Oryctolagus cuniculus: one gene and its partners. The protein of the gene in region 2 purifies or fractionates together with the protein of the main gene of each other region. This does not show direct contact. Links are inferred from orthologs where the notes say so. Each region holds a gene or a part of one and is shown on either strand. Other genes may lie near its edges.

Region 1 (4,353 bases), on a different chromosome or scaffold from region 2:
CTTCCAATCCAGCTCTCTGTTGTGGCCTGGGAAAGCAGAAGAAGATGGCCCAAGTCCTTGGGCCCCTGCACCTGCGTGGGAGACCTGGAAGAGGCTCCTGGCTCCTGGCTTCGGATCAGCGCAGCTCCAGCCATTGCGACCAACTGGGGAGTGAGCCATCAGATGGAAGACCTCTCTCTCTCTTGCTCTCTGCCTCTCCTCTCTCTGTGTAACTCTTTCAAATAAATAAATAAATCTTTTTTTAAAAAAAATAACTACTGAAAAGAGGAAAGCTCTATTGTTCCGAGGTTTTTCTACACCACATTGCCAATCCCTTGTGTACCCTCACCCTTCAGAGGGAGGACGAGCAAGGGGTCACATGAGAGCAACTTTAGCCAGCAGATTAGCAAAGCTCCGAAAGCCAGAATTCAAAACGCTGTAGGAAAAAGTTGTTGAGTAATAATAAAATTGGGTAAAAATTTAACTGTCATGGTAACAAACATAAAATGGTAAGTTCTGTGCTCACAACACAGTCCTGTGCCTAATGCCTGGGACCTTACTCGTTCTCCTCAGGGCTCCTGTTCAGGTTCCTCCCTCCAGGGGCCTCTGAGCTGCAGCTCCGGACTGTCAGAACAAGCTCTAAAATCCGTCACCACAGTTATCTGCTGGGTAGGTTGCAGTCATCTGTCATCCATGCTTTTATACATCACAGGGAATGGGTATATAGATATAGGATGGCAAGATAAAATGTTGCCTCTGAGTTGTATAAAACAAACCAAAAAAAATTTCTTAATAGAGCAGGAATGTTCTAAGAGATAGACCTACTTTGCAGGTGACATATGACATGCATCCTGAAAAGTTCTTAAAGTTTCTGAAGAACTGAATTTGGCCTATCTACCACAGCCATGTCAGTCTGCATCAGCAGGGAAATCCTTAGTTCTTCCATCCAGGAGCTGCTTAGTCATTTCAGATCTTCATTCATTTGTTAGCAACACTGGGAGATCACGCACAGGCCTTATTTGTATTTGGAAGGGTTAAATGAGATGCACATGAAAATACACCGTAAATCTCAAAAGAAGTCTATAAAGATCTTATTTTGGGCTGTAATCCATCACTACCCATCTACTACCTGGTTTGTAAAATCACTTGGGGGCTTACCTTGCACCACCCAGTAGAGTGCTGTTTTCACAAGTACTTACATGCACTGTGTTTAAAGGTACAATTAATTCACATGATACCTTTGTTCATTCCTTCACAATTTTTGAGTCTGCTGAAAACTGAGTACTTCCCAGTTACACAGGAATATCCATCATGAGCCTTAATCTTTCTCATTTTTAAATAACTTAAGAGCCCAACGAAAGTTAAATTACAAGACCTTTAAGATCTTTCCTCCTGGAAATGAAATCATCCCTGACATTTAAATGAAACAAACGGGCCAACCTGGGCTTAAATACGTTACAATGTTTTCTACTTCAAAGCACTCAGTCATTCAGGACCACCGTGTTGGCCAGAATTATTTTTACCTAGATTCAAAGCTTTCCAAAAGAGCCCAAGTTTTTACATACACACACGTGGTTCCTCCTCTCTTCTCCCTCCCCCGCCCAGCCCCCTCAGCATTCTCAGTAAAGAACTCGGCTCGGAGTCTAGGAAGTGGGGGGAAGGGAGGGGAGGGAGCCAGGGAACCAAACACTACCGCGGCCGGGGGCTGGCATTTTAGTTCCCAGACCTTAACAAGTCAAGAGTTCTCGATGGGCATTTGTCTCGTGTGAAACTTTGGAGCAGCACTGAGGAACCACTCCCACACCTCCCCACCCTCTCCTCCAGAACAGACGAGGTACGTGAAGTCGGTTAAGTCATCGGAGGAGGGCTGCACACAGATTTCCGTCAAAACGGGAATTTTTAAGCAATCTGAACTCCATGCCTAAACTGCTCGGATTTAAAACACACACACACACACACACACACACACACACACACACACACACACTTTCCCGCAGTCCTGGCAGTAGCGCTTCACACCTTTCACAGTTATTTTAAGCCCTTCATAATATTTTCCTGTTCAAATGATAGTTGGAAGGAACTCGGCAGCTTCGACGGGGCGGGGGATGGGGGCAGCAAACAGTCCACTTAACACCAGGCAGACACCGGAAGCAACATCTAGCCTGAATTTAAATGTGTGAACTGTGCGGGGTATCCACTACTCCAACGGGTGCGTGGCAGGAACCTCGGTCCTTACCTGGCTCCTTCCCTTAGGCACCATCAGGATGGGCGAGGGCGGAGATGGGATGCACACCCCGAAATCCGGGTGTTTCAATTTTCATTTGCGAAAAGGCAGAGAATGTACCCAAAAAGTCTTGATAAGGTCCCATGGGAAGATGAACAACGCTGCAAACAGGAAGGGCCGCGCACAGGAGGGTCCCAGGCCGGGTTGGGGACAGAGCACTGAACGTTCGCGTGGGGCCAAGGGAAGCAAACGGCACAGATCGTCAGAGAAAGAATAAGGGGTGGGGACGCGGAGCTGAGCCAGCCTTCAGCCCCGGTGCCCAGCCCAGGGAAAGCCGGCTCCCGGCAGGAAGGACCCGAGGCGGCGGCCGCCTCCCGAGGGACCCGGGGGGCGGCGGAGGCCAGAGTGCGCCCGCCTCCTCCTCCTCACCTTCGGGCATCTCCCGGTCGCTGATGTGCTGCAGGTGGTGGCCCTCGCCGGCTCCGAAATCCAACTCGGTGGGCTCCACGGCAGCGGGTGCCGGCGCCACAGCCACCGCGTCGCCGGCCGCCGCCTCGTAGATCTCGGACTCGTAGTCCGGCTCCGCCGGCCCCGCGCGCCGGCCCAACTTGGGGCTGGCATTGGGGGACACGCAACAGGTCAGCGTGTTCCCCATGGGGCGCCTCCGCTCCTCTCCGCCACCGTCTGCGCCTTCGCTCGCCCCCGACTCCGCGGCGCTCGGCAGCCGCCCCCTCCCCCAACAATGGCGCGGTCGGCACCGGCAGCCCCGGGCTATGCCGGGGCTGCGGCGCGCATAGAGACACGGCCTCGCCCGCCGCTCGCCCGCCCGCCCTGCCGCCCGGCCCCGGGCAGGGCTCCGGCCTCGGCCGCACCCCCGCCGCCGCGCCACCGCCGCCTCCCTCGAGCCGACTTGTCTGCGAGGGCGGCGACCAGCCCGGCTTATTTAAAAGGGGTGGGGACCCGCCAGGCGCTGAGAGACGCAGCCACTGCCGGCAGAGAGCGCGGTCGGAGCCCCTCCTTCTTCCGCCGCCGCCTCTCGACCGAAAGCCACTCACTCTGGCTGGCGCCTACCAACCGGAACGCGTCCTGTGGTCACCTGGTTACGAGGAACCAATCATGCCCAGAGTTCCCTACACGCGCCCGCGGGGAGTCCAGGCACGTGACGCACAATGCCCCGCCCCCGCGCGGTGCCCCGCCCCTCGAGAGGTGCGTCCGGGACTCCGGGTTCCATTCATCGCCCGGTGCCCAGAGTTTTCCGGTCCTGCGGGAAGCGCCGGGGGCGTTCGTTGGTCGAGGCAGCCCTCGGCAGGGGGGCTCTGCAGAAAGCCCCGGTGAGGAAAGCGCCTGCTCCGCCAGCAACTCGGTTTCTCCGAGTCCGACGGCTTTCCTTTGCTCACCAAACTTGGTGGCACCTGAATTGCCGACCGTTTCTGTGACCAAATGCTGCGCTCCGGTCTTCCCAAGTGCTGGCTTTCGCCCGCGGCTGACCATTCGGAGAGACCGGGGGCCCTGAAAGGGCTGTGGCCGCGCGTCCTGCGCGAGCCCTGAGGACACGTCACCTCTCCACTTCCTCGTCGGGGAAACGGCCCGCGCTGCTCCCTCCCCGCGCCGGGACGCGAGCCACACCAGCCCCGCGTTCTCGCCTGTTTCTCCCGCCCACAGCCGCCTTCCACTGACAACAACGAAGGTTTCCTCGAACAAAACCGAGAACCACAGTGGGGGACCACGGGCCTGATTCGCTGAAGGTGATGGTAACAAATCGTTAACGTTTGGCCACGATGCGCCCGATGCTCCTCCAACTGAGACATTCATTTAACCCTCAAAAACCGTCCCATTTTACAGAATGAAGTTGAGACCCACACGCGAAGTAACTTTCCCAGGATCACGTGACCGCTTAGGGTGGGGCCAGGCCATTCCTGATGGTGAACGTAAAGGTAGAAGTCGGACTTGGAAGGAAATGACGTTACATAGTAGGATCTTTCTTTAAAAAGGAAGGATTTTTTTTAAATGTTTGCTTATTTTCCTTTATTTGACAGAGAGAGAGAGAGAGATCTTGCATTTACTGGCTCACTCCCCAGGGCTCACTGGCCAGGGCTGGGCCAGACCAAGGCCAGGAGCCCAGAGCTCCATTCAGGTCTCCAGCGTGGCTG
Region 2 (4,088 bases):
ATCCTCATCAGTGGTCTGTGTGCTAAGTGGGGGCCAGGATCTGTGGGTGTGAGAGTAGTCTGAGGATGGGTGTGTGTCCTTGAGGGTCAGGAATGATCAAGAAAGACCTGTGATTTTTTGGGGGTAGAATTGTGTGTCCAGTTCTTCCTCCCTCCTTATTCTTAACTATGAAAAACTCAGACAGCTGAAATGATACTATTTTGGAAGTTTTGTTGCATATAATTGTTCAAGTATCTGTTCACAGGAACCTGCCCAGGGTGCACACCCCTTATTGGGAGTGCTGCTTGGTACATATCTTGTTCCCCATCTTCCTAAAACCTCTCACCACAACTGAACTCTTCAACATGTTCAGCCCTTGGCATTTCCACTCAGAGGCCGTAGTTCATTCTGGCTCCCTCCCATCATCCTTTAAGTCCTGCTAACAGTCTCCCCAGCCCTTGCCCCATTGCCTATCACAACATGCGAAGCAACTGGATATCTGTGCCATATGGGGACACAAGATAGTCTTTGGGAGCTGGGCACACTTTGCCTTCTTCGGCCTTGGGTCCAGGATTGTTTTGTCGCTGTTATGCTGGGTTCTGTGTGGATGGACCTTGTCTTCTCTTAGGTCTTTCTGCTAGGCTAGTCCCTCTACCCCTCCATGGGGGTGGTGAGTTCAAGCAGGCAGGAGTAGGGGTGGGAACTGCTTGGCTAAGCACCAGGTTTCAGGGTAACAGATTTCTCTCCTCAAATCTAGCCCCAGCCTCATCCTCGACCTCCTATCTAGCTCTACTTCCCTTGGGCCAGGGCCATCTTGGGCCCTGCTGTGAGTCCAGATGGTTCCTGGGCCAGGTCTTTCCCCCTCCTTGCTGGCCCAGCACCGAGGAGGAAGTAGAAGAAGGCCAGCCTAAGCCTTTTGGTGGCCCCATTCCCTCCAGCAGCCCATCTAGGTCATCTTCCTGTCGATGCCAGCATCTTTGGAGCACCCTTGTTGGGGGTTGTTCCTAAATAGCAGGGACCCCCTGCCTCAGCAGAGATGGTTCCTAGGCTCTCAGCTCCCTGATGCAGTCATTTCTGCCATAAGCGCTTTTGGGCATCTGCTGTGTCAGTCACTATTCTAGGTCCTCAGGATATAACTGTGACCTAAACAGAAAGACATTTATCCTGGCAGAGCTGATCTTCTAGTTGTGGCAGTGAGGAGACAGTAAAGAATAAAAGAAACCAATAAGTAGATGTGTTATCTCCAAGGAGGTGATGAGTTCTGAGGGGGATAGTTGGCAAGATGAGGGAGCTCAGGATGGTTGAGATTTTAGATATTCACGGAAGCTTCACGTGAAAAGTTGAGATTAGATCAATGACCTGAAGGGAGTGGGGAGTGAGCTGTTTCAAAATCTGGGGGAAGGTATTCCAGGTACCAGGAACAGCCAGTGCAAAGGCCCTGAAGTGGGACTCTGCTGGGTGTGGTACAGAACAACAACTAGGAATGATCCTCGAGGTAACAGGGCAACTGAGGTATAAGACCTTGTAGGCCACATTGAGGACTGGGCTCTTTATTTGGGGTGATAAGGGGGCTGTGGTTCATTTTCAAGTAGAGGAGAAATGTGACCTGGCTTTTAAAAATCTGGATTGGGCCTGTAGGTGCCTACCAGATCAAACATTTCCAGCAGTCCTGAGGATAGCTGGTCTATATTGAAATGGGGGGGGGGGTCTCTCAACCCAGTGGTAGGGTCTGAGTAGGATCCTCCCTGCATCCCCTACATGAGCAGACTTAATGGTTTGGTTCACTTGTCACCATGACGATGGTCACTGAGGGAAGCACGGAGTTCCTTATGGCTAGAGAGAGCATTCTACCTTGGCAGTTGGGGGTGATGTGGGGCTGGTGCCAGCGGAACATAATGTTTTATGGGCGTGCCCAGGGCCATGGTTCCTTGGTTCTGGGAGAGCCTCCTGTACCACCCAAACCTGGGTCCATTACTGCCGCTGCACCTGACAATACCTGCTGTGGAGCCTTCTGCTCCCACAGTGAGGCTGCCACCCTAGAGACCATCAGTCTACCTAGTGGGCCCTTGCCCTCAGCCAGCCACCCAAGTCTGAGTACCCAGGTAAGCCCCTCAGGAGCAGGGCCCAGGGGCTGGTTCTGGGTGGGCGGGCACTGACAAGGGTCCCCATCCATACGGCTTTCTCAGGACTCCTGAACAGGGCCAGGGGCCCACAGTGGGTGGGCAGCCACTGACACAAGTTCACGTTGGTGTTCCCTACTAGGTTGTGGGTTTTAGGGGCCTCCTAGTGGACCAGCAGATGCTAATAGAGGAGCCCTGTGCCCTTACTCAGGTCGCCATGGATCGGATGAAGAAGATCAAACGGCAGCTGTCAATGACACTCCGAGGGGGCCGAGGCATAGACAAGACCAATGGTGCCCCAGAACAGATAGGCCTAGACGAGAGCGGCGGTGGCGGTGGCAGTGACCTTGGAGAGGCCCCCACACGTACCGCCCCAGGAGAACCTCGCTCTGGACGGGGCCCACTCAGCTCTGCACCAGGTGGGTCCACAAACTACTCCTTGGTCTCATGTCTCTAGGCTGGTTCCCAGGTGCTGCCTCCCGATCCAGTTCCTCTTAGACTTGTGCTCCCATTTTCTTCCCCTTTCCTGTTCCATGTGTGCTGTTTTTTCCCCTTCCCTGCCATCCTCTCTCAGCATTCTCTGTCCAACTGTGCCCCTGTCCTTGGCTTTGTGCCAGGCCCCAGGGGAGGAGACGTACCTTGCATGTTGCACCTGCCCCAAGGTTTCCTCTGCCCTTCTCCTGCACCCTGCGGTGGCCCCCTCAGGCCTCCTGGCACCTACCTATCCAGTGCACTTGCCTCCCAGAGCGCTTGGCTACCTCTGCCACCACCTGCCTATTGGCCCCAGTTCAGGCTAGCTGCATTTTCAACTCACCCTGGAATGGGTACTCCACTAGGTGACTGTTGTCCGTCTCCCTCTCTGTCCTGGACCTGCCTAAGCTCCCCTAGGCCCCACCACCTTCTCCTTGAGGAACTGTGGGCTGCTCCAGGGGCCATGCATGCACATGTATGAGGAGGGAATGTATTGCATGGGAGAGGGAGTGTCTTGGGGTTCCTGACCCCATCTGGCATACCCTCCCCCTCTCCCTGCCACCAGAGATTGTACACGAGGACTTGAAGATGGGGTCTGATGGGGAGAGTGACCAGGCTTCAGCCACGTCCTCGGATGAGGTGCAGTCTCCAGTGCGAGTGCGCATGCGCAACCACCCCCCGCGCAAGATCTCCACTGAGGTGCTTAACTCACTGTTCGGGTGATGGGAACTGGAAAAGGGGGCTGGAGGTAGGGAGGTAGAGCTCATGGTCCCTTTTCGCCCCTGTCTTGCTTGGTAGGATATCAACAAGCGCCTATCACTACCAGCCGACATCCGGCTGCCTGAGGGCTACCTTGAGAAGCTGACCCTCAATAGCCCCATCTTTGACAAGCCCCTCAGCCGCCGCCTCCGCCGTGTCAGTCTGGTGAGCACTTTCTGTTCCTGTCCTCTCTCCTTCCTCTCCCTGTCCCCTCCCCTGAGCCTGCTTCGACCTGCCTACTTTATCCCACAGTCTGAGATTGGCTTTGGGAAATTGGAGACCTATATCAAGCTGGACAAGCTGGGTGAGGTGAGAGACAGCCAGGAGACCCACGGTGGGGATGAGGGTCAGCAGGAGCTCCCTGCAGCCTCATTACGCCTCTCCTGTCACACTTGCTCACACCCCCAGGGTACCTATGCCACCGTCTACAAAGGCAAAAGCAAGCTCACGGACAACCTTGTGGCACTCAAGGAGATCAGGCTGGAACATGAAGAGGGAGCACCCTGCACCGCCATCCGGGAAGGTACAGATCCCTGGCCCACCTTTCCCAGGCTTTCCTCACGACACATGTACATCCTCACTCCATGGTGTGAGCAGAGACAGAGGGTTCTGGAACTCCCCCTTCCAACACACTAGCATCTATGAGAATGCCCATCAACCCTATATCTGGGTAATAATCAGAGTCACCAGAAATCGGTTCCTGCTTGGAGGAAAGGTAGATGAATTGCAAACCAGGGTGCTCACTTTGGTTCTGACAGC
Region 3 (4,378 bases), on a different chromosome or scaffold from region 2:
GCAGTTCCTTCACCGGCTCAGATCATCGCCTGGCAGCCATCTATCTTCCAAGGACAACTTCTTCCAACCCAGTTCAGGGCACGGAGCTTTTTATAAAGTACTAACCCCGGCCAGCGCCGCAGCTCACTGGGCTAATCCTCCACCTGCGGCGCCGGCACCCTGGGGTTCTAGTCCCGGTTGGGGCGCCGGATTCTGTCCCGGTTGCTCCTCTTCCAGGCCAGCTCTCTGCTGTGGTCTGGGAGTGCAGTGGAGGATGGCCCAGGTGCTTGGGCCCTGCACCCCATGGGAGACCAGGAGGAAGTGCCTGGCTCCTGCCTTCAGATCGGTGCAGATCTGCCACAGCACACTGGCCGCAGTGGCTGTTGGGGGATGAACCAACGGAAAAGGAAGACCTTTCTGTCTCTCTCTCTCTCACTGTCTAACTCTGCCTGTCAAAAAAAAAAAATAAAAATAAATAAATAAAAATAAAAATAAAAAAATAAAAAGCACCAAGCCTAACCATATAACCATTAGTGTAACCATTAGTGTAGATGGACATATGACACAGCCTGAGACAAGCCCAGGAGAGGGCGTTTGGCACACTGGTAAGCCGTTGCTTGCGGTGACCACATCCTGTACCAAGTGCCCGGCTTGAGTCCTGGCCTTCCACTCCACCTCCCAGGAATGTGTACCCAAGGGAGGCAGCCGGTGATGACGGCTCAAGTACCGGGGTCCACGCCACCCATGCAGAGACCCACGTGGAGTTCCTGGCTCTCGTCTTAGGCCTGGTCTTGCCCCAGCTGTTGACGGCATCTGGGGAGTGACCCAGAGGACTGCAGCTCTCTCTTTGCCTTAGAAATGCAATACAGATGTTGCACCCACCCCCAGCCCCGACCAGACGGAGAGAATTACACGCTACCAAACCTCTGGCACGACGTCCACACATGACCGATGCGGGGTCGGCGTCACTGCCTGGATCTGTCATTAAGGACAGTTTGGGCATTTTGTCGCCCTGGGCCTCCACTGTCCTCGGACATAAAATTACGAGGATTGTGCAAGTTTTCTCGTCTTCAAAATCCCCTTCCCAGAGGGCCCTGTATCCGGAGGGCCTGCCGCTCCCAGGCCCCTAACGCTGCAGGGCGAAGCCAAGGGGCAGTGTGCGAGTCGTGGTCACTCGGGTCCCCAGTGGCTGACGTCCCCACCTCCCGGTTACCCGCCCTGTGAACGCAAAACCGGTACTTCCTGGTGAAAACAGGCCCCCAGGGTTCATTTCAGAGCTCAGAAGCCGGCGGCCAGGGACTCCATCCCGGGCGCCCACGTGGGCCCTCGCCGGCCGCCTCCCAGGGTGGGCACTGGCAGGGCGCAGGGCGCAGGCGAGCAGGCCCCGGCCCGGGGGCCCTCTCCGCCCCGCGCCGCCGGGACCGCCCCTCGCGGCCGGATCTGCTTCCAGGGCACCGGGAAGGGGCGGGCGCCGGGGCGGGCCGGGGCGGGGAGCGCGCGGGGCGGGGAGCACCGAGCATCCTCGCCGCCGCGCCGCGCCGCGCTGCGCTGCGCCCCGCGCCCACGCCGCCCGCGCCGCCCGCGCCCACGCCGCCCGCGCCCACGCCGCCCGGCCTGGCGCGCGGGTCCCCGGCGTGAACCGGAACCGCTTGCCGAGGCCGCCGGGAGCCGGGAGCCGGGCGCCGGCCGGGGAGCGCGGGGGGACGCGGCCTGCGCGGCGCCGCCCGCCATGGCCGCGGCGGGCTGAGCAGGGCGCGGCGGCCGCAGTCGCGCGGACCCGGGCGCTCTCCGCCGCCCGCAGGCCCCGCGGCCGGGCCGGGCCGGGCCGGACCGGGCCGGGCTGGGCGCGCGCGCGGAGGCCGAGGGGAGCCGGGGCCGCCGCGCCCGCCCATGGCGAGGCCGCGCCGCCGCCGCCGCCGCTGCTGCCGCCGCCGCTGCTGCTGCTGCTGCTGCTGACCGGGCGGCCGCGCCTCGCGCCCCGCCGCGCCCCCGCGAGGAAGCGAGAGGCGCGCCGGCGGGGGCCGCCGAAGATGGGGAACACTACCTCGTGCTGCGTGTCGTCCAGCCCCAAGCTCCGCCGGAACGCGCACTCGCGGCTGGAGTCGTACCGGCCCGACGCCGACCTGAGCCGCGAGGACACGGGCTGCAACCTGCAGCACATCAGCGACCGCGAGAACGTGGACGGTGAGCGCCCCCCGGGGGGCCTCGGGCACGCGTGGGGCGCGCGCGGGGCCCCCGCGGAGCTGCGGCCGGCGGCGGCGCCTCCGGAGCGCGCGGGGCCCCGGGCACTGCGCGCGAGGACTCCGGGGCGCCCCTCGCTCCCCTCCCCCGATTCCGGGTCGAGGCTAGGAAAAGCCTTTGAAATTAAAAATAAATAACTGAATCAGTAAGAAGGCAGGGGAGGGCCGCGGGGCGGCGTCGGGGGTCGCTGTGCGTGGGTGGGTGGGCGCGGGTGGCCCCTGCGGGTTCCCCGAGCGGCGGACGCCGGGCCGCCTCTGAGAGACGCGGGATAGGAAGTGCGGGCTGCTGCCGGCTCCCCGCAGCCGGGGGAGTGCGTGACGCGTCCCTTGCGGGTCTTGGCGTGCGTGGGGCGGCAGGCTTGCTGGACGATGTCCACGCAGGAGCCGGTCCGCAGTGGGCGCTTGGTGGATGGCGGTCCCAGTGCTCCTGGGACACTAACCCACCCCTGGCTGTGCGTGAGCTGCAGTCCTGCTTCGACACCTGGAAGGGTGTCGCGGCCAGATCTGATAGCCCAAGCGCCTGAAAGAAATGCTTAGAATAGAGGTGCAGTGTTTTGCCTGAGGAACGAATGAATGAGTGAATGATTGCAGAAGGCCCTTGCCCAGCCGTGAACTGTGTCGGGCAGTAGCGTTTGGGAATAGGTGGACGCTTTGTTGCAAATCATGGATCATCATCAACAGCAGAGTTAGAGAAAGAGAGTTTCCATAAGCTGGTCCACTCCCCAGATGGCCGCAACAGCCTGTCCTGGGCCAGGCCGGAGCCAGGAGCTACTTCTGGGTCTCCCACGCGGGCGCAGGGGCCCAAGCACTTAGGCTGTCTTCCACTGCTTTCCCAGGTGCATTAGCAGGGAGCCGGATCGGAAGTGGAGCAGCTGGGACTAGAACCCGCGGCCATATGGGATGCCGGCACTGCAGGTGGCAGCTTAGCCCAGGATACCACAGAGCCAGCCCCCATCAAACACTTCTCTAAAGTGTTTCTTTGAAAGGCAGAGCAACAGAGAGCGAGCGAGCGAGAGCAAGAGAGAGAGATATTCTATCTGCTGGTTCCCTGCCTAGGTGCAGCCGACAGCCAGGGCTGGGTCCGGCGGAAGCCAGCAGCCAGGAACCGCAGGTCTCCTGCGTGGGTGGCAGCGACCCAGGTACTAAAGACTTCAGGTGCTGCCTTCCGTGCTGGAGCAGGGAGCTGGGTGGGAAGTGGAGGTGGAACCACGCACTTTGATCTGGGCTGCGGGGTCTCGAGCCACGGTTAACTTGCCACGCCTCAGTGCCTGCCCTTGGTCAAGCATTTTTGAGAGAAGGTTGGGAAGTGCAGGTTCTAATCTGGGCTGGGGTCCCCTCACTCCACATCCTGGCTCCTACGATGAGGCATTTAAACAATGTTCTGTCTCCCAAGCTCGGTAAGTAATGGTTCCGGGACTTACCTAACCAGCGCTTCTCAGTGTTGCTTTCGGTTGGACCAGAAGTCTAGGGCTGGATGTTGGCATTAATAGTTTATTTAGAGCTCCCCAGGGAATAATAAGATGTAGCTCCGCTTGGTAATTGCTGGCTGGGTGGAACTTGGAAGCGTTACCACCTGCTGTTCGGAGACAGTTTTGGTAAAAATTAGTGTTGGAGGCTGGGAGAAGGAGACAGATTTATTTAAATGGCGTGCATATCCATATATATATATATATGTATCTATGTATAACTATCTATATTTATATGTATCTGGACTCCTGAGTTAGGTTATCAGATTCTTAAAACTACGTCTCAACAATTCTTTTTATTTTTTTGACGATTTATTTATTAATTTGAAAGGCGGAGTTACAGAGAGGCAGAGGCAGAGAGAGAGGTCATCCGTCCACTCATTCACTCCCCAAATGGCTGCAAAGGCCGATCCAAAGCCCGGAGCCAGGTGCTTCTCCTGGTCTCCCATGCGGGTGCAGGGGCCCAAGCACCTGGGCCATCCTCCACTGCCTTCCCAGGCCACAGCAGAGAGCTGGATGGGAAGTGGAGCAGCCGGGCCTCAAGCCAGCGCCCACGTGAGATGCCGGCCCTGCAGGCGGCGGCTTTACCTGCTACGCCACAGTGCCAGCCCCTGGAGAATTCTTGATCCAAGTGTAGTGTGAAAGCTGAAGTGCTCAGTTCTGTCTTATTTAAATCCCGAAAAACTTCCTAGG

Evidence for each region.
Region 1: the proteins of CDK16 (region 2) and CCNYL1 purify together in Homo sapiens (affinity purification with mass spectrometry; 4 studies listed by BioGRID and IntAct, counting the BioPlex papers as one, with this or other methods). This does not show direct contact. The link is inferred for Oryctolagus cuniculus from reciprocal best matches to the Homo sapiens genes CDK16 and CCNYL1.
Region 3: the proteins of CDK16 (region 2) and CCNY purify together in Homo sapiens (affinity purification with mass spectrometry; 3 studies listed by BioGRID and IntAct, counting the BioPlex papers as one, with this or other methods). This does not show direct contact. The link is inferred for Oryctolagus cuniculus from reciprocal best matches to the Homo sapiens genes CDK16 and CCNY.

Annotation. Positions count from the first base shown.
Region 1 is NC_091434.1:32,089,867-32,094,219, forward strand, and holds the start of CCNYL1 (cyclin-Y-like protein 1), read right to left. Parts: upstream 2,859-4,353; coding exon 2,633-2,858; coding exon of another isoform or gene 2,527-2,632; intron 649-2,526; coding exon of another isoform or gene 553-648; intron 1-552. Other genes in the region: microtubule cross-linking factor 1-like, read left to right, coding at 553-648, 2,527-3,716. UniProt on the Homo sapiens protein: Key regulator of Wnt signaling implicated in various biological processes including male fertility, embryonic neurogenesis and cortex development. Activates the cyclin-dependent kinase CDK16, and promotes sperm maturation.
Region 2 is NC_091453.1:32,755,225-32,759,312, forward strand, and holds the start of CDK16 (cyclin-dependent kinase 16), read left to right. Parts: upstream 1-1,176; 5' UTR 1,177-1,772; coding exon 1,773-2,081; intron 2,082-2,310; coding exon 2,311-2,518; intron 2,519-3,135; coding exon 3,136-3,269; intron 3,270-3,368; coding exon 3,369-3,494; intron 3,495-3,581; coding exon 3,582-3,638; intron 3,639-3,737; coding exon 3,738-3,852; intron 3,853-4,088. UniProt on the Homo sapiens protein: Protein kinase that plays a role in vesicle-mediated transport processes and exocytosis. Regulates GH1 release by brain neurons. Phosphorylates NSF, and thereby regulates NSF oligomerization. Required for normal spermatogenesis.
Region 3 is NC_091444.1:107,291,360-107,295,737, reverse strand, and holds the start of CCNY (cyclin-Y), read left to right. Parts: upstream 1-1,462; 5' UTR 1,463-2,009; coding exon 2,010-2,163; intron 2,164-4,378. UniProt on the Homo sapiens protein: Positive regulatory subunit of the cyclin-dependent kinases CDK14/PFTK1 and CDK16.